Xenopus tropicalis: one gene and its partner. The protein of the gene in region 1 purifies or fractionates together with the protein of each later gene. This does not show direct contact. Links are inferred from orthologs where the notes say so. Each region holds a gene or a part of one and is shown on either strand. Other genes may lie near its edges. The genes, in order: myl6 and iqgap1.

Region 1 (17,168 bases):
TGCTCTCTGTATCTCTGTCTTTCTCTCTCTATATATACTGTAAGGTTCAGTTTAGCAGGGGCCAAAGTTACGGGGCAGTTGTAGGTGCGTTATACTGCTCTAAATATAGACTGATTTATTGAGAAATTTCCACAAAACCCTACCAGTCCCGCCCATCTGTTCCACTTCCTGCTGGCTGAATTCTCTGGATGTGCAGGGGAGGCGGCGGCTCTCAGTACACTGCACTGTAGGAACCAATCAGCAGCTAGGCTGACCTGATAGGGAACTGAAGCCTGTCTTTGCTTGTGTGACTGAAGGGCTGTGATTGGCTATCCCCCTCTTACTGTGCTTCTGGCAGGGGCCGTTAGGACACGCCCACCCTCCATTCGAAACAAGGACAGAGACCTGATAGGATCTATACGGAACTCCAATAAAGGGGCCATTTTTACAGACAGTATTAATTTGTAGCTCAAACTGAAACCAATACCATATATTATTTTTAATTGCCTACAAGATTAGGTTTTTTTAAATTTATCCAATATGTCTACTTTAAGTAAAAATTAAACAGCTTCAGCATGCTTTCTTTAACATAGGATTAGCAGTCGTGCTTTAACACACATATCGGTGAACAAAAACAAAAGATGTCCAGCACTTACAGCATAAGGGCTTGTACTCATTAGCATTTTTCATGCACTAGACATGTTCCTAGACAAATTCTTACGTTCCCAGGTGCCCACAGCCATATGACTTTATAAACACCAGTCACACTTTACTGCTACGCTGCAAGCTGGAGTGATATCACCCCCTCCTGTCCCCCCCCAACCCAGCAGCCAATCAGCAGAACAATGGGAAGTAGTGATGTGAGGGACCGCACACTACCCTAGCCTGCCTGCTCCCAACCCGAATCCTATCCAACCCGGCTTCTCCCCTATATTTATAGACCCGCGCCCGCCCTGTGATGATGTCATACAAGGGGTGTGGTATAGCGGGGGCACGCCTATAAATACAGAAGCCAGCAGTGTAAGGTCGCTGGTGTGGAGGGTGAGCGGAAGAGCTTAACCCATACCTGGACCCGAACCTGCCCAACCGACAGGTAAACCCACAGTTTCCACAGGTATCGGGCCAGCCCACACATCACTAATAGGAAGGTATTGCTAAAAATGCTTCCACCTAGTGGTAGAAATGAGAATAGCACTCAATAGTAAGAAATCCTGGTCCGGCTTGGGACTCCTCCAGTTACATGGGGGTAGGAGAAACAATAGGTTATCTGAAAGCAGTTCTAATGTGTAGCGCTGGCTCCTTCTGAAAGCTCAGACTCAGGCACAATGCACTGAGATGGCACCTACACACCAATATTACAACTAAAAAAATAAATTTCTTGGTTCAAGAATAAAATTTTAAATGGTAGAGTGAATTATTTTCACAGTCACAATATAGTAATAAATACTATACAATAAAAATCATGACAGAATCTCTTTAATCCATATTGGAGGCAAGACAATCCTGTTAGGTTTATTTAATGTTGAAATGATTTTTAGCAGACTTGAGGTATGGAGATCCAAATTAAGGAATGCCCCCTTTTCCGGAAAACCCCAGCGAGCATTCTGGATAACAGGTCCCATACCTGTATATGCTGTATATATGCTTTATCCAGAAAGCCCTGAAATACAGCAATGTCTTTTCCTGTTAGTCTGTAATGATAAGACAGTACCTTGCACTGCAAGGGAACTAAGCTGCATAAATCCGTATTGGTGACAAAACCATCCTACTGGAATTTTGTTTTTACATTTGTCACCACTGTCCTGTTTTTGAAATGTAACTCTCACTTACACAGCAAGGTCAGACTTTGACAAGGGGGGACTGGCAATGCAGAAAGGCTCTTTATTGTTCTACAAGATCGGATCAATGGCCACAGGTTTAAAATTGCTTCTGCATAGCCTCAAAATAAGCTGTTAGTAATACAGTTTGTCATCTGTACTTCAATTCAAGTTGCTCCCAGGGTCCCTCTATGCAGAGGGGCAAGGTAAATGCCCTTTCCCTCCCCTACAACATGCCCTGTTGCTCAGGCCCATGGAAGGGACAGTGTGCCAGAATGACCACCTTTTTCCTGTACATACACCTCTATGACAGAACCTTTCCAGTAAATTGGGTATGCACTGAGATATATCACTAATTAACCTGATGCACTTGTGTCTCATCCCTCCTGCAGTGCCAGCTGGCTGAGCTTTGTTTGTCCCCATGTAACAAAATCCATTCTGCATTGGCTGTTGTGTATCTGCCTTGTGCTGTTGCTGCAGTGGGCTGGCATGGAGCCTGGGAGTGTAATTCCATAGGATTTCTTTTTGATATATATTCTTGGCCACACCAAATACCATAGCATTTATTACTCTTTAGCTGAATACCAATGAGCCTCCATACTGGCTTCCATTTATTGTGTGGTTAGGGGAGACAAGGTTTGGTAAAGTTTTCTGTTAGGAGAAAATGGTATCAGCGCTACACCAGCATTTTACTTCTGGCTGGTTTCCCAAGCATCTTTTGCGACAATCCCTATTCAGGCATGCTCAGCAGAGTAAACCTGCACCATCTACTCTATTGCCCATATACAGATAGCCAAGTGCCAAAGCATAGAATGAAGGTATTGAGATGCTAGGGCCCAAGGAAAATTTTAGTGCCTAACATTTTGGCACCCCGCCCCAAGTAAAATTAACTTTACATGTCCTTAAAGTCCTTAGAGTCATAGCCTCTACTATGCCCTATGTCAGCATGATATCTATTAAGGATCACCACTAATAAAAGCTGCATGTTGGCTAAAAGAATACTCATTTTCTAAAATGAGTTATAGAAACTATACTATGAGAATTGCTACTGTACCTTCACTGCAGACATTCACATACTTGTATAATTTTTCAGAGCCACCATGTCCCAGGTCACAACATACCCCTTATAAACAGCTTAAAGTTTCATGGCTTTACCACCACCTAGTGGCTAACTTCATGGAAATAATAACTTTTTGCCTGTCTACAACACAATAGCAACCCACCAAAACACATATTTATTATTTTCTATAGCTACATACCCCCTAATTCCCCCAATAAAATCAAAACTGGGCAGGGTTTCAAGCAGATTGGCAAATATAATTATGCATGGCTTTATGTGGGTGAGGGTGTAATTGTTAATGTCCTCATTTTTTATTTCTAGTTGTTGGAAAGGTATGCATACATGCTCATAGTGATTGGCTAAACAGACCAACCATCAATCAAGTGGTAACCCTCCCAAAAGAAACATTTTTTTACATCCTGAAAATCACAGTTGGTGAGAAACATGGGAAGTTCTTGGCCAGCCTGGATGTGATAGGGACTGCAGATGGGGTAATAAATTGTGCACCAATCTCCAAGCAAAAAGAATACCCTCTACCTTAGCATTAGGCATTTTCTATACAGTGATTCATTTAGAATTTGTAAATTCCCAGTGTATTAAAGTGCTAACTTTTTTCCTGGGTCTGGTTCTACTGTTTTGTAACCTCCACCTTACCCTGTTTGCCCAAGGATGCCCTGTGCTGTAGTATACTTGCGCATATGCAGTATAATAAAGATGGAAACAGCTGCTGTATTGTGTATTGTGCAAGTCTGGAAGTCTGACTGAGGCACAAAGATCCCTGGGAAAAAGTGTAAGATGGCAGCAGGCTGGGCACGGTGCTTACATGGGAATAATCCTGGGAACAAGAGCACCTGCCCGGGGCAAAAGTGAGATTTTTAATACACAGGTGAAATTGGTGCTCCTCAGTCTATTTAGCTTTGCTTGTACCATTTGAGGTAATGTAATATTTCTGTAATATTTATGCAAGGCATTTATCAAAGAGTACCTGAGAAACAGAAATTTAACAGCATCAGCAGCTCCCTGATAGCAGGTACCATAGTATTTACAATTTTCCTGCAGGCAAGCAATAAAAGGGTATCTAAGGCTTAGCTTAAAGAGAACCTCAGCCCAGGGTCACTGCTGCCATGAGGCAAGATGAGATACTCACTTCAGGCAGCAGCACCCTGCAATTGCGCTCCCTGTACTAGCGATGCGGCCCCTGCCTAGACCCCTCTGGCACTGTAAAAATAAGCATGGGGGGCTAAGGGGGGCGGCATTGCTAAAGCTGCTTCGGGCAGCATTTAAGACAGAATCGCCTCTGCCTCAGCCATTCTTGTGGGCTGTTTAGTGAATATGAGTGGTGCAGGCAGGGGGTGCAACAGGCAGTGCAATGGTGCAGGCAGGAAGGGGGACCCCTGGCAGTGTGATGGTGCAGGCAGGAAGGGGGTGCCACTGGGAGTGTGATGGTGCAGGCAGGAGGGGGGTGCCACTGGCAGTGTGATGATACAGGCAGGAAGGGGATGCCACTGGGAGTGTGATGATACAGACAGGAGGGGGTGCCCCTGGGAGTGTGATGATACAAACAGGAAGGGGGTGCCACTGGGAGTGTGATGATTGCACGGTCACATAGTAGTAGTCTATGTCATTAACTTAAACCTAAAAATAATCATGTTCACCATCGCTAATACCAATTAACAATTCACCAGTGTAACAATTCACATATATACAAGTACAACAATCAATAAATAAATATAAATTAGATCATAAAGCATTAATGTTTAGGTTCAGCAACACCTTTGAGGCACTGATTAAGTTAAAAGAAAGTAAAAAAAATCAAATGCATACTTGCAGAGATTATATCACTGACCTATCCTATACACTCACATACATAAATTATACATACAAACATTAATACTAACTGTAGATATTAGTATCACAATAGCCTTGGATACTATGCTTGTTCAAAAACTTATCCAGGCCCCTCTTATAGGCATTAACAGAATCTGCCATTACCACATCACTAGGAAGGGCATTCCCCAACCTCACTGCCCTCACCGTGAGGAACCCCCTACTGTATGTTGCTGCAAATGAAAGTTAATGGTGATGGTGGCGCGGCGGGAAAGATCCGTATATGTATTTATTTGGCACCAAGGCCATTTCACATAAAGTAAATAATTCAAATAGCATTAGCAAATAGCCCATCTCCTGCCCCCTTACTGAGTTAATCTACAAGCTAGCACCTATCACTGAAGCCCAGCATAAAAGAGGGAATAACACTGGTAGGAATAGGATTTTCACTAGTAGTGACAATGGGAATGTATAAGCTGAAGGTACAAGGTTACATTTGCTTTGTATCTATAGGTTTTCATCTCTGCAGAAGTTGCCATGTAACCTCCAGTATAAGACCCCTCTGTTCAGCTATACCAGCAGAATGGAAGCCTGACTTCATTTACTTTAACCGTCTCATCTGTGCAGTTGGCAATGTAACTGTGTTTGGTATAGATTATAAAACCTCCAAGTGATTGATTGAATTTGAAATGCGGTGCGCATGTCATAATTGTCAAAAGTAGATCCAGCTGTGGGTCCGTGGCTGCCCATGGTGGCAGGGCCGCCATCAGAAATCACGGGGCCCCTAACAACAAAATTTTCTGGGCCCCCCTCCCCCAGGGCCCCTCCCATCAGTACAGGACACACAGACATAAAAAGTATTAGGGCCCCCCTACCACAGTGCCCCCTAACACTATGCTGGCCAGGCCCCCCTAACGCTATGCTGGCCACAGGCCCCCCATAAAATTGCCCCATATACAGTACTCCCATACACAGTGCCCCCAATTGCCCCATACACAGTGCCCCCATAGACAGTCCTCCCCACACACAGTGCCCCCAATTGCCCTTAGACAGTGCCCCCAATAGAAAGTGCCCCCATACACAGTGCCCCAATTTCCCCCATAAACTGTGCCCCCAATTGCCCCCATAGAAAGTACCCCCAACAGACCAAGTCATCGTCGGCTGCTCCTTCTCTCTTATGCTGCGGCAACAGGCCCTTCTATAAGGTTGCACCTCGTCGCTGACGTGTGACTTCATATGCACAGGCGCAACCTTATAAAAGGGCCTGTTGCCACAGCATAAGAGAGAAGGAGCAGCCGACGATGACTTGGTCTGTTGTGGGTACTTTCTATGGGGGGCACGGCACGGCGCGGTCTATTGGGGGTACTTTCTATGGGGGGTACACTCTATGGGGCAATTGGGGGCACTTTCGGATTCGGTTCGGTGCAGAGCATGGATTCGGCCGAAACCGAATCCTTGAAAAAAAAACGCAGTATTCGGCCTTATAGGAAATAGTATATATACAAATATATAAAATATATTATATATACCATTTGGTAAGCAGATTTTATACATGACCAGTACAATATATAAATTTTTATGCAAATATCAGACTATATATATATATATAGTTGAAACAGAATACCACACTCACAGGACTTAGTGAAAAAATGCGCTACATTTTGGCGCCATTGTGGGTTTAAGAGTGGGTTTGTAATTACTTTGTTCACTTTGAGAAAGGCTGTGGATACGGCCGAAACGTTAGATAGATGTTTTTCACAATAAAACATAACTACATTTTTTCACTAAGTCCTGTGAGTGTGGTATTCTGTTTCAACTGTAACACTTGTATTTTGTATACTGCACCCAGGCATTTTGATATAAAAATACCTGAGTGCCTGCTCCCTACCAGCTCTGTAAGAATATATATATACTGGAACAATGACAGCACTCCTAGGGTTTAAAGAATTGTGAGAAAATGTAAATGCAAAAATAGAAAGGTTTATTACTAAGTAACTAAGTAATAAACCTTTCTGTTTTTGCCTAATAAATAAAATGAAAGTGTTAGATATTATAAAATAATTATGATTACATAATGTAGTGATTACATAAGTGACCAGTAAAATATATACATTTTTACGCATTTATCTGTGTGTGTGTGTAAATAATGTTTTTCCTAATACAAAAATTAAAATGTTAGATATAACATAATTTTGATTAAATCATTATTAATTAAGAAAATTTCACTTGCGATAAAAGTACAAACCCATCCCAAGCAGTTCCGCTTATTGGCCAGCAGAGAGCGCACAACGTATATTTGCGTTTGACGTTGCCAGGGCTTGGGGCGGTGACGGGGAGATGACGTAGTTAGGGCTACAAAGAGAAGAAACCGGGAGCTGCGATTCACATTCCGGAAGGGAGAAGACGCGTCAAGATGGTGAGGAGTGTTCGGCAGCTGATAGTCTTTCCCTAGGGGTCTAACCCCAAAGCTGGGACTGTCCAACCTGCGGCCTTTCAGTACCTGATGAGACAAAAGTCTCAGGTTGAAGTTGCATTATAAAGGCTGGAGGGCCGCAAGTTGTCTGTCCCATTGCTAGTGAGGAGATTGCGCAACATCGGTGGATTCCATTGCCTGGCAGATGTTCTTGCCGCTGGCATGCAATGCCCTTTCCTGGCACAATTCCCCATGCCTATAGATTGCCGCTATTACATGTGGGAGACATCGGCAAGGTTGCTGGGGATCACTTTCCGCCCGTGTCGCCCTGGGCCTAGTGGGTGGGTGTGTTGGGGAGGCTATGCCTGTCTGATGCCTTGTGTTTCTCTTGCTTTGAACAGTGCGACTACTCCGACGACCAGATTGCCGGTAAGTGCTCGCTTGGTCTCTATACGCGGCCAGATAGTGATGATCCGTCTCCCCATAGGCTCAGGCTCATCAGTGTCTTTCCCTCGCTTCCCTCCTCCCATCATGCTCACCCTGTCTCTCTCATTTCTCTGCCCTCTCAAGCCTGACTGTACCCAGAGCAGCCGGCCGGTAAGTGGGTGCCCCTCACACTAACCCCGCACTCATTCCTTCCCTACTCACCTTCAGCTTTATTTTTCTAATCTTGGGGTTCTGCTTGGCCCCCCAAACAGACAATCCTCCTTCTCCCAGACATTGTGTCATTAAAGCTCCTGTGCCAGTGATTGGCTGTCTGTGAGACTGGGAACTCTAGTTCAGCAACAAGCCTTGCCCCTCCCTGTTCTGCAGTGATGCATGTTTGGCCATAAGTTAGCCAGAGTGTTCTGTTTCTTTGCAAAATCTGCCCAACTTTGTGATTGGCATGAAATGTGTTGTTGCCTTTTCCCTAATCTACTTTAGGCTTAAGCACCCAGGATCTCTGGCAAATAAGGGGTTAATTTTATCAGCAGTGCAGGACCCCCCTGTGTGTGTGGGAGGGGTTTGTTCTAATTCACATTCTAACCAGCTCTTGTTGCAGAAGGCTAATTCCATGGTGGACTGGACATGCCAGTACTACCCTGTAATAGACATAATGGATGTACATGTAATTGGATTGTATCCATCAGAGCTATGGCTAAAGACTCCTGTATCGGGTTATTGCAGGGCTCTGGGCGTGTTGGCGCAGACAGTGTTTATGTTCCTCCTGTACCTACATTGTTCTTTGACACACACGCCCTCCCTCTCCTCAGAGGAAAATGGCTGCCAGGCTGTTCTCTGGATGCCTTATATGGTAACAAAGCCTCATTCTGAGCCTGTCAGTGCAGAACTGTCAGCAGAGGAGGGGTTGGCAGTGAGGAGGATGGGGCTGAGCTCCCTGCATTCCTGCCGGGCTGATGCCTGCAGGCTGGATTGTCTCTTCCCTCACTGGGTTGGTGCAGCCCAGCCTCAGATCTGCTGTGGGTTGTACTGGGCGTATTACTGTGTGGCAGAGAGGGAAACGTTCCATTTGAAATGATTTCCTCTGAAAGGAATCCAGCAGGAGGGGTCAGGTTAGGGAGTGCCACAGGAAGGAAATTGCCGGGATCCCCCCCCCCCCCACTCGCCTGATTGCTTGCAGTTACTATTTCTAGTCTAAGGGCTGCCGTACAGCTTCAGCCAAGACATTTGTGCAGATGTTATAGCTGTGCAACAAATACTTGAGGAAACTGATGTAGAAATATATATATATATATATATATATATATATATATATATATATATAATGGAAGTTGTTATATGCAGTGGGAGTCCTGTTCCTTCAGGTCCCTAGATGTTGCTGGATTACAACATCCCATCATTCGTCAATATTTTTTAAAGATTTAAAGCATGCTGGGACTTGTAGTCCAGCAACATCTAAAGCAGGGCAATGCAGATTTTTGGACAGCAGAGATCCATCTGATCATGTTCAGACTTCTGAATATAGTAAAGCCCAGGAAGCCTGGTAGTATTTATATGTATATAGTTGGTTAGTACATGTTATAGGGGAGCAAAGAGTAAGTTAGTGCTCAGTATGTGAAAGCTAACAATAAGCTGTGCTGTTGGGAATATATGTGCCCTTACATTTGTAAGTATGCACTGCTGACCCTGCATGCTGACGCGTGTGTGTTTGCGTTAAGGTGGTTGTCACAGGGGCCAATGGAGAGTGATTTTATACTGCTTACTTGGACAAAGCTTCTGAAATCTTGTCTGCTTGTGTCCTGTATCATTGGTCCCCTGCCTATGGCGCAATCCTGCAGTGTTGACATGGGCCCAGTCCGAAGGTCAGTTAGCATGGGAATTTGTGGGAATGCATATTTGCAGCTCTAGATATACTAAACATCACTGATAAATTATATAAAGGGCCCCTGACAAAATATTGGACCTGTGAAGGGTGGGGGCATGAACAGGAAAAGTGCCTAAATCTTTATTTGGTAAATACCAAGAGTCCGTGTGGTTACTCCGTGACCCACTGTCACCTTGTGCTAGTTAACTAAATATTTCTGCGCTAATGCAATGAATTCTCTGTGCATCCAATTCTGCAAAGCTGCTCCAGTAACTGTGTCACTGCCAGTGACTGACCCCCACACTTTGTATTACTGGGTGAGTTTGCATCGGGCCATTTCTTTCTCTCAGCCATTCATGCCCTAACTTATTTCAATTCATTTTTACTTTGCAGACTACAAGGAGTCCTTCCAACTTTTTGACCGTGTCGGCGATGGCAAAATCCTCTTCGGCCAGTGTGGGGACGTCATGCGGGCACTGGGGCAGAACCCCACTAATGCTGAGGTGATGAAGGTTTTGGGAAACCCAAAGCCTGAAGGTGGGTAGAAAAGACAAGGAATGAGAGCCTTGAGTAAATGTGTGCCCTGGGTATTGTCAGGGAGTATTGTGTGCTCCGCTCCATATTTCTGTATGCTGGGCAGTTTCAAAATATTTTTTTTTTTTTTTTTTTTTTAGAGGCCAGTGTCTCATGTCATTGCCTATATTTACACTTTTTTTTTTTCCTTTAAAAGGCTCTCTTAGTAGTTAAATATTCTCATTAAACTAAGAATCACTTGTAGATATATGATGAGGGTTATTACATGCAAACACGGTGGAACCAGTAATTGCAACATTGCATCATACATACAGGCGTTTCCCATTGTTTATGAAGGAGAATATTTTGCAGCCATTCTTGCTGGTTGTGTTGCAGGCAAAACATAAAGCACCATCATACTGTGCCACACAACTGCTAGTAAAGTACCTGAAACAGCAACAATGTCTAGCCTATTGGCTATGTAACCTTCTATCTAGGGGGCTTTACCTGTATGGCTGGTGCTAGTTTGTTCTGTCTCTTATTCCTGCAGACATGAACATCAAGACACTTGACTTCGAGCAATTCCTCCCCATGATGCAAACAGTTGCCAAGAACAGGGATGTACCTGGATTGGAGGACATCATAGAAGGGCTAAGAGTCTTCGACAAGGAGGGAAATGGCACAGTTATGGGCTCCGAGTTGCGTCATGTCCTGGTTTCCCTCGGTAATAACACAATCCCTTGCAAGCTATGTGTGTGTTAGCTAGCCTGCTGACTATCCACTACCATTGATCAGAACAATGGGCAGAACAACTGACTGATACTCGCAAGGCCTAAGATAAATTAGATTTTTTATTTGTCAGTGGGATGTTGAATGGCATCACACCAGAAGAAATTGTATGGCACCTAGGCTTATGGCGCACGTGATGATGATTTTTTTTTTTAACTAGCAGGACAGCACCTGAACCATATTTGATCCATTAATGCAAATTACCGACTACTATAATGTGTCCGATCATTTTCAGCTGCTGGAGAACATACCTTACGCTTGTTATGGAAGTTGTTACGTAACCCTTAATGTTTCTGTTCCACAGGAGAGAAGATGACAGATGATGAAGTAGAGACCCTTTTAAGTAATCATGAGGATGCTAATGGTTGCATTAATTATGAAGGTGAGCACTGTACAGGCATCTTGCTATGGAAGTGTTTTTATCTAATGTTGAATAATATTGTTTCTGAGGACTCATGCTGGGCAGCCGATTAGGAATGTTCTGGGAGAGTAGTGTTACTGGGAATGTAACTGTACTTTGGGTGGTGGGCCCACATGTGCACGATGGTATATGATATCTTGTCTCTGATGATTTTCGTTCCCACAGTGTTTGTCAGGAACATCTTATCTTCGTGACTTCACTCAGTGGGTATGCTGGTTCCTACTACTAGTTTCAGTATATTCTGCCCAGTTTTTCTCTTCTGGTTGCCCCTGGCCTATCTGCATGTTCCTTGCTGTGTCTGGATAGCATTTAACAGACTGCTGCTAACACATTATATTTATTATTGCAGCTTATCCTTGGCTTAAAAGCGTCCTCTGCTGGTAGCCAGCTACTGTCACTGAACTGGCAGTGTTTGTGTGATTTATAAAATAGTGTATGTGTGTCTTCTGTGCATTATGGTAACACTCAGATCCATATTGTTTAGAACAGCTAGCAACCTTCTCTTGGTCACTGGTAGGTGACATTGCAAATAAACAATATTTAGGGGAACTGTGGCCCTTTAGCTACTGCTGATGGAATGCTGGCATTGAAATTAAAGCCACAGCTAAATAGCACTGTAAAATCCTGTATGTTTGTTTCGGAAGGAAATCTTAGCAGATAAATCAATGTTTACCAAAGTTACAAACTAAAAATACTGTAGAATATATATTATTTGCCTAAGCTCATTGTGACCAGGCAAGATAATGATGGGGAAAGGGGGTAGTCCTGCTATATTAGTGCACAGTTCCTTATCTGAGGTAACCCAAAGGAATACATTCGTTATTGGGAAAATGGTACAAGGTTCCCTGCTGCTTGTACAGATTGGGAGTAGATCTGAGGTTTGCATGTACAGTAACTTCCTTCTGCTCCAACATAGAACCCCTTTGCTTCTCTTGCCTCCAGACATTAGCAGTGCTGTAGATATTAGAGACCTCTTCTGGCCTTTCATGCTTTTGGACGAAACTTTCATACTTCAGTCTTTATATGGTGCCATAATTGACTTTCTGTTCTGCTGATCATAGAGACAAACTTGATAGATGTTGGAGCATACCATTCGTAAGCTATGGGGGTTGGTGCTCCTGTGAGTGGGTTTGTTCTTTCCATGCAGTACCATCTGGGTTCTTTGCTGGAAGAAACAGACTGGACTTTGCAATGCACACAGGAGCCCCCTCCTTTCACCAGTGGGTTGTGTACTGTGACTTGCTGTTTGACAGGACTTGGTGATTTCTGTGGCTTAATTCTTTGAAAATGAGTGGGCTAAACATCCCTACCATGTCTGGATTTTAACTGCATTTTTTTTGAATACACAAACACCCCTTTTTGATGTTATTTTGTTCATTCATATGGGTTAAATAAAATGGTGCATAAACATTATCTAAACTTCCAGAAATAGTTTTAAAACAGACATACCTAATTCCACAGATTGTAAGGAACCCATGATAGTCTGTCTCGTAGGAACCATTTCTGCAACCCTCCTTTGGCTCACAGTCATCCACAAAAGGACAAGGTCAGGGAGGGGTTGAAGTGATGGATTCTTGGACTTAAGTCCCTTGTTTTCCATAGTGCGTGATGCACAGATTCTTTGGAAAGCAGAGAGCCTTCAGATCAGAGTCTTTCACTTCACAATATGGGGTGAGTGAGGGGATGAATGACTGTAAGCCTAAGAGGGTTTGGAAATCGCTCCAGCTGGTAACAGATTATCAGGGTTCCCTCTCAATCTGATATTTGGTTGATTTTTCCTTTTAAGAAATCACCTAAACGTTAGAGAGATGCCAGTGGAGCCACTACCATTTATGCAGCATCCCCTATTCCCCCTCATTGTTACTGGACTTCTGCAAAGTTGGTAGTGCAGCAGCTCCCTGGCCCAAACACTTCTACATAGATTGTGCCAAACAGCTGGGTGCACAGCCCACCTTCTACCTGCTATGCCTTCTCTCTAACATATTTTTATATTTCTATTTACAGAACTTATCCGGGCGATATTGAACGGCTGAAGCTTCTCCTTTAGTTTACCTCTGCCCAGTGGGGATGAAGTGTGGGGGGGAAGTTAGTTAGCAATTTATTCAAGCCCTTCACTAGAGAGGAAGACAGGCTATATAGTAAGTGCCTTTTCTGCTTCCTCCTTATCCCATCAGTCACCCCCTTCTTCTCGCAAGTGGCAAAATTCGTATTCATTTTTTCTGTAACATCACAAGGGAGGCCCACAGCTACAGCTTAAATGAACATCGGTAGAAATTGTGGCAAAATAATTTTTCATATCACCCCCCCCCCCCATGCTTCCTTAATGCTGTAGTGTGCAGAGAAAGATAAATTATTTCAAATTTCTATTTTTTCCCCTATCCAACATCAAATAAACTGAGTGACTTTTTCCAAGACATCTTGTGATTTGTTTCATTTCTCTGCACAAGTTACATCTTAAAATCATTCTGAGGGGTAGATGCATCAGGAGAAAGGGAAAGAATTAATTTTACAGGGCTCTTGCTGAACATACATTCTGCATACTATTTTAATGATGGTTTCTGTTATACCTATACAAGACAGCAGCAGTCATTTCTTTGTTCTGCTGAGTGTTATCAAAGGAGAAAATAGTAAAATACATTAATAGTCCACAAATAAGGTTTGTAATCTTTTTACAAGTGTCAAGAGCATTTGACCAATTTATCTTCCTGTGTAAAACCCACTGCATTCTACAGAGCTGTGTAATGTGGTTTTTTTTTTTCGTTTTTTTTTTTTTTGCTCTAATCAGCTTGAATTGCCGCCCTCATAGCTACACAGCAGCTAATGTATCAAAACTATAGATTTGTTTTTGATGGGAACGCACCATTTTTTCAGTGTACATAAAATTACATATAAAACTAGGAAAAGATCGCAGGAAAGATTTCCACCCTCCATTGACATTCAGGGCTGAATCATCTGATATGGAGGTAGAAACAATAGAAGTCCTACCTCCACCTGCCAATTCAGCCCCAAATGTAGATTTTGCTCTGGCGCCTTCAACAGAGCGTGATTGATAGGGATTAAATTACTAAATGCTGTGATAGGGGCTAAATTGCTTAATGTTGAATTTACACAATTTTGTTTTCAATCATGAAGGCCTGTGTATGTGTTACTTCAATTGTTATGATTATCCTCATTATCTTGTCTGTGTCCAAGTTGCTCTGGCCTTGGGTATCTCAGCTTATTTTCAAGGCTAAGAAACCATAATAAGCTTCAGTAGCCATTTTAATGAATTTCTGTTATTTGCTAATAACTGTAAGGCATATGTGCCCACCCATGCTACGTAAGCATAATGGGATGTGTTTACCTATCTACTATAAAAGTAATATCAAAACAAAATAAATTTGTACTTGTTTGCAATACACATACTGGTTGTATCGTTTGTACAAGTACCCTGATCAGCTCGCCTGAAGAGACATATCAGATATCTTGCCATCACACAGAGATTAAATCGGACCGGTCCGTGACTGCTTATAGGGACAGTGCTACAGGTGCACAGAGTTACAGAGATTTAACCCTAACAGTTCGTGCTACAGGTGTTACGAACAGAGATTACAGGATTTAACCCTTTCAGTGATCAAAATCTTGTAACCTGCCTGATCGACGAGACTGATATCGCCGAATATCGTACAAAACCCATAACATTTGTGCATGTATGGCCGGCTTAAATTGTATCCTGGTTCCACCACTGCCAGCTATATATGATCCATGGTCAATTATCTCTCTTGGGCTACTTATCTGATATTAAATAGATTGATATTTTTGCTTTATAAATTAAGAAGAAGCATTACTGAAATAGAGAGGCCAAAAAACATTGACCAAGGGTAATGGCACACAGGGGACACCAGAAAAAAAACCCACTACATAAACAAGGGAAATGCTTGGTCATGAGTAAAGGCTGGACAAGTTGGGGTTTGTTTACACTAGAGGGGGGGGGCACGGTCACTTTGTATAACTGTAGAAGGTAACCATACACTATATAATGGCTTCTAAATCACAAGATTTTGAAAAAATAAGGGTATCCATGTTGTGCCAAATGAACTGACCTCATTATGGATGAAGAGCTACACACTGGTGCTGGCTCCAGCAGTTCCAGTCCTAGTTTTAGCTACAAGAGCCTGTGGCCCTGGTTCAGTGTGAATATTGCTGATCATTAATCACCACCACGTAACTGAGGAAAAGCAAGCAATGAGGCCAAACATGGCAGCTGCCAACCCTGCTCTGCAGTTTTTCTGCTATGACAAGGCGAAGAAACATTTAAGCTTGGCACAATGGGGATGATTATGTTCAGGAGGAGGCAGGAAATGGGGAAATGACTATAGGTCATATTTAGTCATGTATATATGTGTATGTATATATATAATATACATATATACAGTGCCGATTCACAACTGCCATTTTGGAGTCCGAAAACTTTTAGAAAAGTTTCTTACACAGGACTGCACCTATAGAATGATATAAGCAAACAATATCTGTGCCCCATTCACCCGTGGAAGAAAACACAGCAGGTTATAATTAAGGTGTGTAATTTAGCTATGTATCCTATCCTCCTGACTGGCTGCCAGCTCTCTAAACCTGCCTAAAATGGCATTACAAAAATAGACTGTATAAGGCCACAAGGTCAGTTGGTATTTCCCTTCCAAATTAAAATTAATGCAGTAAAACTTCCTTCTGCAACAACTAATAGTTAAAGGACATGTCAACCCCAAAAATAAGTTTTTGCCTAATAAAAGAAAACATAATTCTAAGCAACTTTCCAATATAAATGTATTTAAAAGTTTCAGTGCTTTACATGTAATTGCTATTGAAAACAAGCATTTGCTTTTTAAACAATGTTGCAAAGGTCAGTCTCCTCCAGTAAAACAGGTCTGTCATTCTGCTGCTTGTGTTACATTATTTCAAGAGTCAGAGCCCCCAGGGCAGAGAATAGAAAGGACAGACACTGCTTCTAATAGCAATTATACATAAAAATAACTCAAAAACCATTACAAATATGTACTAAATTATATTGCAAAGTTGCTTAGAATAACCCAGAATATAATTCTTGCCTAGTAGAAGAAAAAAATCTAAGTAAAATAACATAATTTATTTTAAAGAAATTCACAGGTTCTAAGGTGGAATCTTACACTTCTTTAGCTCTTTTTGTGGTTTGGTGGCCTTAAGCTGGCCATACGCATGGACTTACAAAATCTGTCAACTTGGCCCCTCCAGACCATGTCTCCAGCTTATTGGCCCATGTATGGGGCCCTCTCAACAGTCTGCATAACCATCCAGATATCTGTTGGGCAGGGCAGAAAATCCGCCCGCAAAGACAGCATTGGATCTTCAGATGTTTCCTACAGTTTTCAGATGATGGGACATAGTGAAACGGCAGGAGTGACACTGCTAGCCCTCACTAAATATTTATCAGTTGGAATAAAAAATGAGCCGATTTTCTAATTTATTTAAGAGCGAGAAGCAGAAGCATACCATGCAGGGAAGGGAAGACCAAGGTGAGCCCCTAGATACGCGGCACAGGCAGGCAGCCACATGAACAGATCCAGGCATTTCCCCCTTCTCCCTAGCAGGCAGCACCTAATAAGGGCAGATTAACCATTCCACCCCCCACCACAGCTACTCCATGCCAGGTTGTTCTTTTTTGCGTGACATAGAGGATCCCTCTGTCATTCCACAATATACTCACTATATTTAGAAGCTTTCTTATACAGTTACATAAACAGTGAATCTCCAATTCAACCTGCTTCCCTTGCAGCTGTGATCCCCAACCAGTGGCTCAGGAGCAACATGTTGCTCCCCAACCCCTTGGCTGTTGTTCCTCGTGGCCTCAAAGCAGGTTCTCGTTTTTGAATTTCTGGCAAGGAGGCAAGTTTTGGTATAAGAACCAAGTATAATGCCATACAGAGCCTTCTGTAGGCTGCCAGTCCACATAGGGGCTACCAAATAGCCAATTATAGCTCTTATTGGCACCACCAGGAACATTTTTCATACTTGTGTTGCTCCCCAACACT
Region 2 (16,504 bases), on another chromosome or scaffold:
ATTTATGGCTGTTGTGTATTATATAGTAGATTGTACCCTCCACTGTAATTTGCATGCCTTTTGCTTATGGGTTAATTTATACTTATATTTTACAATAGGGGATACATTATTCATTATTTTATTTACAGTTTGTGCCACAGGGAAATTAGGGATTGTACATAAATATACTATCAAGCACATGCAAATGAGCACAATGGGTTTCAGTAATGGCTGGTATGTGCCCTATGCCCATTGTTGCAGAGAATACATTTTATCCCTCCCACCCTCCTACTTTTTTCCTTTCTATTTCTCATACGCACCTCTGTCTTCCTTTACAGCTTTTCCTAAGTTCTTCATGACCCACTTTTCTTGCCAGCATTGTGCCCCCTTTAGTCCTCTGTTCTGGTCACTTTTTTTTAATACCATGTCTTTCTGTTCTACACTAACTCCCCGTCTTTCATATAAACAACACATATTAACGTCCCCCCAAGGTGTATTTTGGCTTCTCCTTTCAGCTTTTCTTTTTAACCTCATTGCTACTTTGGCCTGTTCACTATTTTTTTTGCACAATTTTGTCCTCTCTAATTCACTTGTTTGTGCATCCTACCCCCTTCCATCTCCCATTTAAGACAAATCCCCCTTTAGGGAAATAGACTTTTGTGGTATGGGCACATGGAGCTTCTCTCAACCCAGCTATTTCCCGTCAGGCTGACAGAAGCAGATCTGCTTCACTGCCTTTTTCAGGGTGACCTCCTATCTGCCCCAGTGTGTGTGCCTGCACTTGGGCAGATACTGCAGCTTTCAGTGCAGGCACATGGATTAGCACAGGGAAAAGTCTGACAGAAAAAAGCTGGGCTGAGAAGTGGATTTACACTTTGTGTGCCTGACGGAAAAGCGCATCTATGCTCCATGTGACCTTGCCCTTTGTTCTCAAAATTTCCAGCCCATTTGTTCTTACCAATGCCAGTGTAATGTTATCTTATATTGCATTCCAGGCTATGTAAAAAAACCTTACACAAGTTTCTGTCCATGCCTACAATATCAGGCCACACTCCTTGCCTGCCCTCTTTCAGTTTCTTGTTGGAAATGTAGTGCACAATAGGAAGCTTATTGTAGATGATGAGGAAGGATGTAGATAGCCAGTTAGAGATAGGGCCAGCCTAGGATAAATCTATGAGCTGAACAGTTACACATTCTAAAGTTAGGGGTAAAGCATAATTACTATAATAATACATTCTTCTCTATCTGTTAAACAAATACCAAAGGTGAAATTTCACAAGTGTGTGTAAGCTCTTTTGGGCAGGGCCCTCTTCACCTCTTGTATCGTTTATTGATTGCTTTATGTTCCTCTGTATGTCCAATGTATGAAACCCACTTATTGTACAGCGCTGCGGAATATGTTGGCGCTTTATAAATAAATGTTAATAATAATAATAATAAAGTGTGTACTTGCAGCTGTGCATCAGCTATATGCAGCCCCTACATGCTAAGGTGTCACACTTTTCTGTCCCATGTACAGTAAGAGTGAAGACACATGGAGCGATTAGTTGCTGCGACTTTTAACTAAGTCCATTGCATCAACATTTCTTCCATAAGATATAATAGAAGTCGCCACAACTAAACGCTCGCGAGTTTTTGCTGCGCAGATTATTCACAATGACTTTTTAATCGTCCCGTATTTCTTCTTCCTAAGCCATCACTAAGCTTCTGTAGCATGCATACTGAACACTTACTTTTAACTGCCTGCCCTTCCCTAACCCTCATCTTTTTATTACTAACATGATTCAACATATTCTGCAGTACTATGCAATAGAAGGGTGTACACATCAAACACTGTCTTGATACTGAAGGTAAAGAGGGCTCTGCCATTTAGAGCTTACTGTAAGTATGCAAAGTCAGACAACATATTACCTCAGGGTTTTCAACTGCCCTTTATCCCTCTTTCTGTTAGGCACTGGTGCACTGTATAGCCATTTCTATGTCTTTCCTCAGGAAAGAACCATCATTTGACAGGGCAAACTTGGTCTGTGAGTTTGAAACTATTGTCCTTCTTTATAAAAATGATATTGGATATTATAGTGAAAATTATATTGTCACTTACACAGAGTCACTGCAGGAGCTGTGGAGTCCAATAATGCTGGCTGAAAAGCACCCATAACTCCCACAGGATCTGGGTGACTGACTATATGTTTACTGCTGGTTTTTTTTTTTCTCTAACTAGTGCTTTTGTTCTTTCAGATTGTGGGAAATCTGCTATATTACCGCTACATGAACCCAGCCATTGTGGCACCAGATGCCTTTGACATCATTGACCTCTCTGCTGGAGGACAGCTCACCACAGATCAGCGAAGGAACCTGGGTTCTATTGCAAAGATGCTTCAGCATGCTGCATCCAACAAGATGTTTCTTGGAGACAATGCTCATCTAAGTGCCATCAATGAATACCTTTCACAGTCATACCAGAAGTTCAGGTCTGTGCAGTAATTTATTTAATTGGTTAAATGAGAAAACACACATTATTACTTTCACTGGCTGACAGCCTCGCGAAATAAGGAATTCTAACCAGGTCTTGGGCCGTTGGTTTAAAGCAGTGCTACAACTTTTTTAATTCAGGGGGCCAGTTGTGGCTTTGTGGTCCTCAATTTGTGAAGGCCCCTATTTGCACTATTAAATGTAATTTTAGTTCACTACTGGTTAACGCTGTTTTAAGATTTTACATTTGTATTATTTCTACATGTACTGTAAATATCTAAAATATTATATAGCTTATTAGTCATATACTATGGTCATTAATAATCAATGGCACTGTAAATAGGTGATCCCTCTTTGCCGGCAATGTACAGTAACTAATAGATACAGCAGTAAAAAAAACTGGCACTGAGCACGTGGCACTTTGTTATTCTCAAGACAGATAACCAATAAAAGTCTTTTTTGAAATTCCACAGAGCTAAAATGTCCTATTTTATGAGAGCCATAAGGCTTATTTTGTACAGGGCTCCGTTGGAGAGCTAGGGTAGAGTTTGCATAGGGGCATAGCAAAGATGTTGCCTCCACCTAGGCATTGGGTTGGGTTTAATATCTGTAGCTGTGAACTTGAGGAGCATTTCTGGTTATTTTTTGTAACCCTAAAGGGACATTACAGTGACTTCCCTTTTAAACCAATACATTTTGTATGTCTTTATTAAAAATGACAACAAAATAAAAGGAAACAAGAAAAACACAGTTTATGGATTGATTGTTTGAACCCTTGAAGGCATTTTGTTATAGTATAGATTTCTTGTTCTTGTAAAAGCAACTAGTATGTCAGCAACTATATGCTTACATACTAATATATATAATCCTAGATTACTTTCACAGGTGATACAAAGCCTGCCATAATAATAATAATAATGTCCACAAAATGGCACCTACCTGCTTGCTGTGACTATGCAATTCCAAGACGAGATTAATATTATTTATATAGTGTAAGTTTATTTTGCTTGAAAAACACAATAGAAAATAATTTGGAGTTATTTCTTAGGGTGTCAGGGCCTTTTTAAAGTTAGAACTAGATCGGCTTCAACTATGTACATTCCTGGCTGTCAAAGACCTGGAAAGAAGACATCAAGCAAAAAGGGATAGTGGCTGCCAACCCCACTGCGCTACTCTTGTATTTTATTAACAGGTCCCGGCCTAGGGCATTGTATTGGGGAGTGTGCATAGTGTGGCTCAATTGGTGGAGGGGACATATGATATAAATGTGCCTTTTAATTTGGGTATCGTATTTCCCTTGTATGCAATTAAATATCCCTAAAAATATTGGTATCTGCTTAACCTCATACATGATTATATCTGTGTTCTTCTCTGCAGGCGCTTTTTCCAGTCAGCTTGTGAAGTTCCTGAGCTCGAAGACAAGTTTAATGTGGATGAATATTCAGATCTGGTGACTGTAACAAAGCCAGTTATTTATATTTCCATTGGAGAAATTGTTAACACCCACACTGTAAGTAGTCTGCTGGCTTTCAGCTGGACCCTCATTTTGTTTTCTGATATTATACAAAAGATTCCCAAAGTCAGCACGCCATAACAAACTTCAACCTGGCGCACATCCCCATGTCAACTTCCACAGAAGTATAATTGTATAGAAGTAGAAGTTACTGATACTGTAGACCTGTTTTACAATATAAGTATCACCAGTGGAGAAATTGGCACTGGCCAAAGACGAGTGTAGAAATAATAATTAGTTGAGAAACCACAATGTACAAGTGTACAGTATCAGAAACGTTCATGGTCTTGATATACCAGCAGGGTTTGGTTCCATGTACTTTTGTTAAAGCTTGTTTGATAATATGGGACCCAGTATGATAATGTACCCAGAATACTACTATACTCGCTCACATTTCAGTCCCCTGTAGCAAGTCCTTTTCATGTATAAATCCTGGGGATTTCTCTATACAAAGTTTTTAATAACATTTTACTTACAAGTTGTTTATTTAATGTTAAGAAACATGCACTGTGCCAGTAAGCAAAGGTATACTATTATCTATAACAGCTCACATATTTATTAACTTCAGTGCTTTGTAGGGTAGCAAGCTGAACCTCAGCAAATGGAATAACTAATTTTGGAACTATTATTTCAGTTGCTTCTTGACCATCAGGACGCTGTAGCACCAGAGCATAACGATCCAATCCATGAACTTCTGGATGACCTGGGAGAGGTTCCAACCATTGAGTCTCTTATTGGTAAGCTACAGTTATACCATAGACAAATTATAAGCATTTGGCATAGGTCTCTTGATTTAAACTTGGCCATGTGAACACTTGTAAAGGAAAAAAGATGCGGAATGAATGCACTTACTGTAAGAATTCTTATTGTAAGAACTACCATGGGTGGGACTTCTCAATCTCACCTGGCACAGCTCTGTAGATTAAGGGTAACTCGCTATTTTGTTTCATTTAGGGGAAGGACCAGGCTCTGCAGGGGACACCAACATGGATTCGTTGGCAAAAACAGAGGTGTCACTTACACTAACTAACAAGTTTGAAATTCTTGGTGATGAAAATGCAGAAAAGGATGCAAAAACCATCATGCTGAAGTAAGAGCCAAATCGCAGTTTGCCGTTTATTCCTGTTGACTCTTTTCTTTTTATAAGTGCTAGGGCTATGGCACATAGGGAACATTCTCCACAAGTGCATTTTAGCTAGTGGTAAAGTGCCCAAAACACCCATGGTGAACTTTTGTTTACTCTAATAGAAACTGCATGACAGCCCTGATGCTGTCTCTTATCAGCTTAAAAATGCTCAGTAGAGCTTTTTCAACCATGAAAAATGCCAGTAACTGCGCTGTGGTGTGTTACCCATTCAAGTAAATAAGAATTAGCAGTGGATGTTTTGTATGCTTCTTTGCTGGCTAAAATAAGCTGTCAGAGGATATGCCCTGCATGCCATCAAAGTTAGGAAAAAATATAAAGTATTCTCAGTGATATCTCAAAGTCCTCTTTTATCAACACAAACAAAACAGTTTTTTTTCTTCCTAATATAGCACAAAACGCCTCATTGTGGATGTTATTCGGTTCCAGCCTGGAGAAACCTTGGCAGAAATCTTAGAAACTCGAGCAACCAATGAACAGGTAAAAAAAAAAAAGCCAAGTGCGGCTATGTAGTCAGAGATGGATATTTGTGCACCTTTTGTATACATTAAATATAATAATTGTAGGTGTTTGACAAGTGTAAGTTACCAGGTTAATTTTGTACTTTGTATGTGAGAAAATGCAGTTTTGAAATGTAATCAGCATCTGTTCTATTGTCAAATGTGGAAGCATCTGCCAGCAAGTGCTCTACAACTTGTGTTGTTGTCCTAATTCAGGAGTCAGATCATCTGCGAGCCATGCAGAGGAGAGCTATGAGAGATGCAAAAACCCCAGATAAGATGAAAACCGCTAAGAGCCTAAGGCAAGACAGCAACCTAACCCTTCAGGAAAAGAAGGATAAGATAAAAGCCGGTTTAAAAAAGCTTGAAGAAATGGGTTTGGTTAATCCAGATAATCGGTACCAGGATCTCATCAATGACATTGCCAAGGTAAATTGACATGAGTATATATTAGATAGCATGGAATGGTATGGTTGTATTGGCTGGACAGAAAATAAAGAGGATTTACAAATGGTAGTATTTCATAAGTGGTTCTCCTTAAATTCAAGTAAATGGCTAAATCCATTGCTAGTTGTAGCATTGGTTGCTGAGCTAATGTAACTAGTTCTTAATGACTATTATTATAAGAACCATGGTATCAATAGCAGCTTTACCGTCAGTAAAAAAATATTTTTTTTGCCTTTGCTGATGCTAAATCATCAGAAATTGTGCCCCCTGAAGCAGCACAGTGGTAGTGCATTAATCAATGAAAGTGAAGGAGGTGGGCTATACTGAGGGAAATGAGAAGGCAAGCTGTTGCTGCAATGGTCTTTGGATTATGTGGCATAGGGCTGCCTAATAAGGGAGCTCAGCATTTCTCTACCATTGGAATAACTAAAATAACCAAGGTTTATTAAAGGAGAAGGAAAGGCAAAATCTATTAAGCACACTATTAAAAAGTACTACTACTGCTGTGTAAAATCGCTATATTCCTGGCTTGCCTAATGAAAGATTTACAAAGATACACATGCTAGAACTTACATGCTTGTTTCAGTGAACGGCGCCGCCATCTTATCCAGCATGTCTGAATGGGCTGAAAAGTACAAGCCGGCTCCCTGCTCCTGTTAGAAAGTTTCTGCAGCTCCACAAATTCCCCCTCCATAAACAATCTCCCTGGCAGCAGCAGCCCGCCCTCCCCCCTGCTTGTGAGGAAAAAAAAAAAAAACGGAGCTCTCTGCTGTGCACTGAGCATGTCTGTGTCCTGGACAATCTGTGTTCAGTGAGACAGGAAGCTGCACAGGCTTAGAGCAGGTACTGTATTTACTGACAAGACTTTTCCATGTCAGAGCCAGATGAAGCAACAGCACGGTGAGTTCAGGAAATATGTTAAGGACTGTGTTAAGGCTAAGTTATTGAGCTCATGTTGTTTTTAGACTTTCCTTCTCCTTTAAATAAACTTTATATGTTTCTAGAAATAAGTGTCGTTGTTCATATTGCAACATAACTGCAACAACTGAACACTGTTTCAACCATGCACAGATTTAGTTGGGGAGTAAATATGGCTCACTTGACCCTTACCAACTATTTATTCACATATCCCTAACTGGCCTGCAATCCCTACAGATTCTGGTGTGTCTACAGTGAGATTATATCTGCTCATGCGCATCAGGCATCTGCAAATATCAAAGTGAGAGTTGCCACAGCTCTCCCTATGATGATGACCAAATTGGACAGTACAGGTATAGGACCTGTTATCCAGAATGCTTGGGACCAAGTGTATTCCGGATAAGGGGTCTTTCTGTAATTTGGATCTGCATACCTTACGTCTACTAAAAAATCAATAAAACATTAATTAAATCCAATAGAATTGTTTTGCATCCAATAAGGATTATTTAAATCAAATACAGATGTAAAGACAAATGTTTGAAACTTATATATTTTACATTGTATAAGTAAACAAAACCCTAAGTATAGTCTTCAGTAGGCATTTCTGTCTAATTCTTGTTTCTGCAATATAGGATATCCGTAATCAAAGGCGATACCGCCAGCGACGAAAGGCAGAGCTTGTGAAGCTGCAGCAGACACACACAGCGTTGAACTCTAAGGCTTTATTTTATGAGGAACAAGTGGATTATTACAAGAGTTATATCAAAACCTGTATGGACAACTTGGCAAGCAACCGCAAGTAAGTGTTTGAGAGCAAATGCTGCTTAAGCTTGTTAATACAGTATGGCTAAATGTCAGCAAACACATGTCCATATAGAAAAACATTTCTTCGTTAAGCTTTTTGTTATTTTTTCATAGCACAATAAGATAAAAATTAGAAAAATAAAATGAATTAGAAACCAGACAGCATGGATGGAGGAGGTTGCCTTCTCTGGCTTTTAACATGGTTTGTTAAAAGCAATTTTTCTATGAATCTACATTATTAGGTTTACATCAGACTCACTTTTATGGAAGAATAGCTATTATGCTTTTAAATTTGGATACATAGTTTTGCTGCTGTTCTATGTTTTCAGATGACTTTTGCATCTTTTACCGTTACACCAGGTTGTCTAAGAAACCAGGCCAAGCTAAAGGGAAGAAGAGTAAAAAGATATCACTGAAATACTCTGCGGCACGGCTGCATGAGAAAGGGGTACTGCTAGAAATTGAGGACCTTCAAGCAAATCAGTAAGTTCTGTTGACTCTGACAGTGGCAATAGAAAAAATTGTTGTACTATAGAATAAGACATTTACAATGTAAACAGTGTTGTAAGAATATATTTGCCAAGAACTGGTTGCCCCAAAGGGGAAGATCACTCATTACTTGGCTGCTACATTCCCTGGTTTGCATGAGGACAACAAGGATACACACTGCATTTTGTGGGTTCTGAGTACAAATATGTATAGATTCAGTACCACAAAGCACCACTGTAGCTATTTGTATGCAGTGCAATGCTTGCAATTAGAAACAAACAAGTTTCTGTTAAAGAATATTACTTAGATGCTTATTTTAGCAAATTTGGAGAGTGGAGAATATTTTTATAATGTATGTAAGGAAATCTGAGCCTTGAAACAAGCTTTACCTTGTTGGTATAATAGGGCTGCATCTAGATTCAAAAACCTGAGTATGCCCAGTGGTGAAGATGTGCCATACCATAACATGCACCTGCTTGATTTGTTATCCTCCTCTTATACAGCTGCTGCTGAATTTGACACAAACTTTTAAACGTATAAACATTTTTCAATTACGTTTCTTTATTACAGAGGTTTATCATTGCATCACAAATTCCTCCAAGTCCCTGTAACAGTTTACATGACTTGTTTACTTACAGTCTTGCTCTCTGTAGTAGCATCTCTCTTTAAAATGCAGCTTCTCAAATCCAGTCTTCATTTAATTACATAATTTATATTCCCTTGCCTTGAGCAACACCCATCTTCCACTTCTAGCCATATTGCCTTCCCTCTGGGTATTGCATCACAGCAGGTTCCTAGTTCTGTTGCCATTTTCAAAGATTGCATCATTTTTTTTTTAAATCTGTATTAGAGATGTATACTGCATTAGATGGTATTAAAATAAACATAAAGCTTTTAGCTCAGTTAGAAATGAATTAGTATAATCCAGATTTAACTACTTAATCTTTCCCTCCCCTGTTTCATATTAAGTAACGTGAGCAGAAAGGAGCATGTGGAAAAAGTTGGGGTAAATATGTGGATAGTTATTTTAAAAGTAGAAAACTTAGAGAAAATGTATATACATTTTCTCTAAGTTTTCTACTTTTAAAATGTACTAAATACTAGTTTGTTAACCTTCAGTTTGGCATCATTTATTCATAAACTGCCATTGGGGCACACCCATACATCATTCTGTGACAGACATCATCACATTCGCCATCTATATGTCATTTGGTTCCTTATTCTTCTTCCTGTGCAGATTCAAGAACGTGATTTTTGAAATCGCTCCCACAGATGAAGTTGGTGACTTTGAGGTGAAAGCCAAGTTCATGGGCGTTCAGATGGAAACATTCATGCTGCATTACCAGGTATGATTTTGACAACTATCCATACTGAAACACAAAAATCACAAACAAATAAACTCCCACATTACACCAGGGATCTTTAAAATCTACATCCTTAAAGGGGAACAATCATGAAAAATGTTTCTATACTATTGAAAATATAAAGTCTAGGCAATTTATAGCTTTTTAAAATTTTGCATTGTTACAAAGTTATGGCTAAATATTGAAGCAGCCTCCCATCCCCCCCTTCCCAGTGATTTTAATTGCTTACCTTTTTACCCCTGGCTGGTGCTCCACACCACAACCACACCAGCCCAGAGTAGCTGCGAGCCAGCGATCCTCCTTCTTCTCTCTTCTATCATCTGGATCCCAGGGCCGGCACATGTGCAGTAGAGTGAAAAAGCTGCTTTTGCTGCTTTTTTTTGTTGTTGTTAAAGTGTGGCTTTTCTTTCTACTGCGTAACTGGTTCGAAGAAGGAAGAGGCTACTCCAGGCTGCTGTGGCTTTCTCCTAACATTTGACATCCCCCACTGATTTTTAACTTTCCTTCTCCTTTACGTAGAGGCCAACCCCTCTCTCCCCCATAGAATTGATAATAAAAATAGTAGGTCACCTATCCATTCAACTTAATACATCACTGTAGTTAGGCCAAAGAGTGGATAGGCAAGGTTGAAATGGGACTGTGGCAGGCAAAGTTAAAGATCATAGTAACATAGTAAGTTGGGTTAAAAAAAGACATACGTCCATCACGTTCAACCATAATGCCTATATATAACCTGCCTAACTTCTAGTTGATCCATAGGAAGGCAAAAAACCCCATATGAAGCCTCTCTAATTTGCCGAAGAGGGGAAAAAAATCCTTCCTGACTTCATCTTGCCTTAAACTGGATCCCTTAACCCTAAAATGTCTAAAGGTCATTGTTTTGTCCTTTTGCAATGCTATTGAATGCCCCCTTTTCCAGATGGCAAGCCTTGATTGAACAAGTTGTATATCCAGTAGAGCAGACATCCATGCAATAGCAAATATCTTAGTTGTTCCCTTCTATGTTCAGTAGTACCACCTCTAGGGCTTTCCTTACAATTGTAATCATTGTATATACCCTGGCCCAGTATTTTCCTGCTTTAGTAAATTCCCACAACCTGCAATTATGACCCAATTTGTCTACTACCTCTAAAGCACCACTTTTCTAATACCACCTACAAAGATTGTTCTAGTATGTTATTAACCGAGATATAAGTAAAGCATTCCTCCCCATTACCTATGTGAACCTTGCCTAAAGAGGTCACTTCCTTATGTATCAGTGGGGCCACTGTTGAAGGATGCACTGGTGACCCACAGGCTTTTTTAGCTTTACCAATCATTACTTATATTTCCTTCACCTCCCTGACTGAATTGCAGAACACAGAAATAAAGGCAATGCCTTAAGAAGTTAAAGGGCCCATAAGTTTGGCAATTACTTTTAAAAATTGTATTTATATTTAACATCCGTTTTCTCTGTAAATATATTTTATATCTGGTGAAGGCAGGGCTTAGAAATGTAAGAAAATGTTCACGGTCACTGTTTTTTGGACAGGATCTTCTCCAACTACAGTATGAAGGTGTTGCTGTCATGAAGCTGTTCGATCGCGCAAAGGTCAATGTTAACCTGCTCATCTTCCTCATCAACAAGAAATTCTATGGGAAATAAGAAGTCATTGGAGAAGATAGGGAATAGTTTGGGATAAACATCATATGTATGCCTTCTTGTCAAACTGTGGCTTCAGCCAACACAAACTGCCTTTATACCTGCACGAGCCTGTGTGCCCATTCTCTGCAAGCATCCATCTGTGTAAAGAAGTCATCCTGAGGCCTGCTGTAAGAAACTAGAAAGGCTCTGGTGCTTCCAAATATAGTGTTACATAGCTAAATGTATCTAGCTTAGGGAATCTAGTTTAGATGTCAAGAACAAATTTTATCTAGAATGCTGGTTAGCAACAAGAGTAAATGCACTAATACACTATATATGTTTTGTTTCGGTATTTTGTACTTTTTCCCCCCCTCCGATCACCTGTTCATTATTATTGCTATTATTGATTTTATTGATGGACCAAAAAGCTGAATAGTCTGAGCACAAGTTAAAAAAAGAATAAAGAATTTAGCCTTGTCCTCAATCACTATTATATTTCATTAGTCAAAATCAGCCACAATGTAGTCTTCCCTGCTTGATTTTAATTGAATGCTATACAGCTGTTGTAATGTGCATTACAGCCTTCTTGACATCAGTTTTAGTGGGGGTTACTGTTTAACATTATGCACATGTCCTGCAATGGAAGGAAATGATTGGCTGCCACAGTAAAAGCAGCTGGAATCAATCTTAACTGTGCCCAGTTTAACTATTTTAATTAGCCCTGCTTTATATTAGATATGCCTTTTAATCAGAATAATTTAAATTAGCTTGCAACATTGCCAGACTAATATACAGTAGGTAGGATAGCTGCCTAAAGATGTATTAGCCATTGTTTTATGTGGAAACATATTTTTAAAGGAAATGTTTTTAATTTTGGAATAGCGGTGGTTAATGCCACCCAAAATTATGCTTATTTTTTTTTCTTTTTTCACGTTCTCAGGATAATGCAAAAACACAATTTGTCCAGGAAACCTAAGCTGGATAAGTATTTAGAATCAAAGAGAAAATATATTGATGTTAGTTCCTTTTATACATGCAGACATAGGAAAGAATATGTGTTCATTCTGCTAACTGAGCTATAGCCGAGGGAACCTGATACCCAATGCTGATATTGTGTACTAGTAGGTAGTCTCTAGGGCCATGCTTGCGCACTGCTTGAATTATATTAGCTTTTAAACGTTCAGGAAATATATTGTAAATTAAGTTCCAGTTTTCTAAGAATGACACAAGCCTTTTATAGAAATAGGTTTCTTAACATTTATTTTGAAGAAATACAATAGCTTGGCAGAGTCCAGCATTAAAAGTGACTAGCACATTGCTAACAAATTTATATTTATATATATATATAAAAGTAAGGTCAGAGTGATATAATGTAGTACTGAGAGCCTGAACTCAGAGTATGCACTGCTGTCTTCCCTTGTATGCTTGTGTTAATGAGCTATGATCCAGCAATATGTATTTCTCATAGGTAGACAGGCCAATATGTGCTAATAGAAATATATTTCACATTCCTTAAAAAGAATTATACATTTATTTGTAATATAAGAATTAAAAACATAATTTATAGGGAAATTATCTTATGAATCCTAGATTATTAAAATGCCACAACCCATGCAATATATAAGTTAAATTCACTAAATAAACCCATTCTCTGAATTAAAATTCATTAGAAATGTGGGATCTTCCCATCTAAGACTTTTTTTTTAATTTATTAGTGACCATAAGTAAAAAGTTTCTTGAGGTTATATTTGTCTTTTTACAGTTTTCTAGAATATGGATAAGGTCCCTTGTTTGTACGTGGGCCTGCATCTTTACTTCTGTTCAACAAAATAAAAATATCATTTGTATTTGTGTGTGAAATCTATATTCATTATGGGTAAGTGTTGGGTCAGAAAATAGATCATAACAGGGCAACCAAAGTCTAAAAAAAAATAAAATAGGAAATGTTGGGGATTTCTGTATCAGACACGAAAGTGAAAATCCATGTTTCATCATTTTTCCATGCTCATGTATGGTTTACTTCCGATGACTTGCCCAACTCATATCTAAACATAAATTATATCAGACAAGAATCACGTTGGCTCCTTGGTCAAATGATCAGATATTACTTTGTATGGCCACCTTAAGTCAATTATTTTGGTTAAAGGTGGCCATACACAGGGCGGTTGTAGCTGCCGATATCAGTCCCTTGGACCATTTCGGCAGCCTATCAGCCCGTGTAGGGGCAGGAACGAGGAGCCTGGCCGACCGATATCTGGCCTGAAATTGGTCAGATATCGATCGGGCAGGTTAAAAGATTTAGTCAGATTGGGGACCGCATCGGCTCGTTGATGCGTTCCCCAAACCGACTGCCCCACTGCCGCCATTATAATTATCTATTATATTATTAATTAGTCTACATGTTCCCCGATATCGTCCACCTGTAGGGCGGGTCATCAAGCGAGCGGATATTCACGTGTATGGGTACCTTAAGACCTTTCTGTCATAGATATTCTTGGAACTATGGGTAAATGGCTGCTACTGCAAGGTATGTATGCTGTCACTTACCTGAGCTTAGGGACTAACATATACTGCATATAAAGAATATAAAATTCAAAATACAAGGTGGATTATTAATTAATTCAGACTCCCATTACACAGCAGCTGAAAAACCAGTGAAATTTGCATCAGAATTTAATAATCAGCCCTGTAGCATCAGCTTCTATGACATCAAACCTAATTTTCTGCTTGATTTGCGATCATCCCTAAGCTTAGCCTCTCAACAGCTGCCCAGAGCCCACTGACACTCCTAACAAAATCCAAGATGGTAACTGGCAGGATACAGACATATAGTGTAAATAAGAAAGTGTTAGGGGAATTGTCCTTGGCTGTGGGCAACCAGCAAATGCTGTAATACTCTGGAAGCCTGTCCGACCACGGAGTAACAACTAAAGCTGCCCTTCTAAAATGTATCTATTTTAGTACAGGTATGGGGCCTTTTATCCAAACTGCTTGGGGCCTGGGGTGTTCTGGATAAGGGATCTTTCCATAAATTGGATTGCCATGCGTTAATGTCATATAGATATGTTATCTTTCTTAAAAAAAATACCGTCTCCTTACATAGGTATGGGACCTGTTATCCAGAATGCTAAGGGATCTTTCTGTAATTTGGATCTCCATACTTTGTCTACTAAAAAATAATTTAAACATAAAAAACCCAATAGGATTGTTTTGCCTCCAATATGAATTAATTATATCTAAGTTGGGACCAAGTACAAGGTACTGTTTTATTATTTAGAGAAAAAGGAAACCATTTTTAAAAATTAGAATGATTTGCTTATAATGGAGTCTATGGGAGATGGCCTTCCTGTAATTCTGAACTTTCTGGATAATGGGATTTAGTAGTGGCTGAGACTATATAGATTAATATTAACATTATTAACAGATATTTATAAAGCGCCAACATATTCCAAAGCACAGTACAATAAGGTTTATACACAGGACATACAGAATTACATACTAAGCAGCCAATAGCAGATATAAAAGGTAAGAGGTCACTGTCTATAATGTGCTTCCTATTACAAAATATAAAGATATTAAAACTCACCAAGGAGATCAATAATAACATATGTGCACAATGGTTTTATGTAGCCTTGTGCAGGAAACTTTAAACCACCTTGGAAAATGAAGCGATGCATATGGTTTCCCACCGATGATTCACTTTATTCCTGGAAGGCATTCGGCGGAGATTTGTCATCTATGGTAACCCTGCATGCTACCATGACCAGCAGGTGGAGCCGTTGTTATAAAATTCATTATATTGGTATCTAGTAGAATTAAGTCTAAAACAACTGGACTTTTCTGAGTTTTTCTTGAAAACGTTTCACCACTCATACGAGTGGCTTCTTCAGTTCAAATTCCCCTAACACTTTCTTATTTACACTATATGTCTGTATCCTGCCAGTTACCATCTTGGATTTTGTTAGGAGTGTCAGTGGGCTCTGGGCAGCTGTTGAGAGGCTAAGCTTAGGGATGATCGCAAATCAAGCAGAAAATTAGGTTTGATGTCATAGAAGCTGATGCTACAGGGCTGATTATTAAATTCTGATGCAAATTTCACTGGTTTTTCAGCTGCTGTGTAATGGGAGTCTGAATTAATTAATAATCCACCTTGTATTTTGAATTTTATATTCTTTATATGCAGTATATGTTAGTCCCTAAGCTCAGGTAAGTGACAGCATACATACCTTGCAGTAGCAGCCATTTACCCATAGTTCCAAGAATATCTATGACAGAAAGGTCTTAAGGTACCCATACACGTGAATATCCGCTCGCTTGACGACCCGCCCTACAGGTGGACGATATCGGGGAACATGTAGACTAATTAATAATATAATAGATAATTATAATGGCGGCAGTGGGGCAGTCGGTTTGGGGAACGCATCAACGAGCCGATGCGGTCCCCAATCTGACTAAATCTTTTAACCTGCCCGATCGATATCTGACCAATTTCAGGCCAGATATCTACTACCATCAAGAGTTTAAATACCGGGGAATTCCCTACCAGTCATTTGAACTGAAGAAGCCACTCGGATGAGTGGTGAAACGTTTTCAAGAAAAACTCAGAAAAGTCCAGTTGTTTTAGACTTAATTCTACTAGATACTGTATATCATGACCTGGATGAATGAGAATCTTCATAGACATTATATTGGTAGTTAATAAAAATGTAAATAGCCTTTAAACAAAAAAAAAATATGTAAATTGATAAAGTGCTTAAAAAAAGCACCCTCATTGATTTTACAAACATAATTGTTCATAATATATACATTTTAGGGAGCTATAATAAAAGATTATTGAACTCTGAGGTGACTTCTTATATCCCCTTGTTATAAAGTAGGGGTATTTTTTGTATAATACACCACAAGCCATGAATATCCTGTAAATCTTTATAAATGGTGTTTAGTGATGTAATTTGAACACATCACTCATTGGAACAGGTATTATGATAAATAATGTACCCTCCTGTTGTAAAATGTGAAGTCACGTTTGGCCTTGTGCAATTATATGGTCATAGAACACCCTTGTGACTTTTAATATCTTTACATTTTATTATGGGGGGGGGGTACATTCTTTTCTATATAAGCAACAGTAATAGATTACATCAAGCAGCACAGAATTCATCAAGAGATTACAATTTTAACCAATTATATTTTAATTATAGTTTAATTCTAGACAGCATAGTGTGCAGGGGATTGTATTGAGAGCCCTTA

Evidence for each region.
Region 2: the proteins of myl6 (region 1) and iqgap1 purify together in Homo sapiens (affinity purification with mass spectrometry; 4 studies listed by BioGRID and IntAct, counting the BioPlex papers as one, with this or other methods). This does not show direct contact. The link is inferred for Xenopus tropicalis from reciprocal best matches to the Homo sapiens genes MYL6 and IQGAP1.

Annotation. Positions count from the first base shown.
Region 1 is NC_030678.2:137,519,163-137,536,330, reverse strand, and holds myl6 (myosin light polypeptide 6), read left to right. Parts: upstream 1-7,087; 5' UTR 7,088-7,096; coding exon 7,097-7,099; intron 7,100-7,497; coding exon 7,498-7,525; intron 7,526-9,794; coding exon 9,795-9,938; intron 9,939-10,464; coding exon 10,465-10,638; intron 10,639-11,007; coding exon 11,008-11,085; intron 11,086-11,289; coding exon of another isoform or gene 11,290-11,318; exon of another isoform or gene 11,319-11,331; intron 11,332-13,128; coding exon 13,129-13,157; 3' UTR 13,158-13,538; downstream 13,539-17,168. UniProt on the Homo sapiens protein: Regulatory light chain of myosin. Does not bind calcium.
Region 2 is NC_030679.2:106,839,176-106,855,679, reverse strand, and holds the end of iqgap1 (ras GTPase-activating-like protein IQGAP1), read left to right. Parts: intron 1-2,217; coding exon 2,218-2,450; intron 2,451-3,828; coding exon 3,829-3,961; intron 3,962-4,598; coding exon 4,599-4,701; intron 4,702-4,918; coding exon 4,919-5,054; intron 5,055-5,500; coding exon 5,501-5,588; intron 5,589-5,824; coding exon 5,825-6,037; intron 6,038-7,605; coding exon 7,606-7,772; intron 7,773-8,137; coding exon 8,138-8,260; intron 8,261-9,503; coding exon 9,504-9,612; intron 9,613-11,161; coding exon 11,162-11,275; 3' UTR 11,276-13,101; downstream 13,102-16,504. UniProt on the Homo sapiens protein: Plays a crucial role in regulating the dynamics and assembly of the actin cytoskeleton.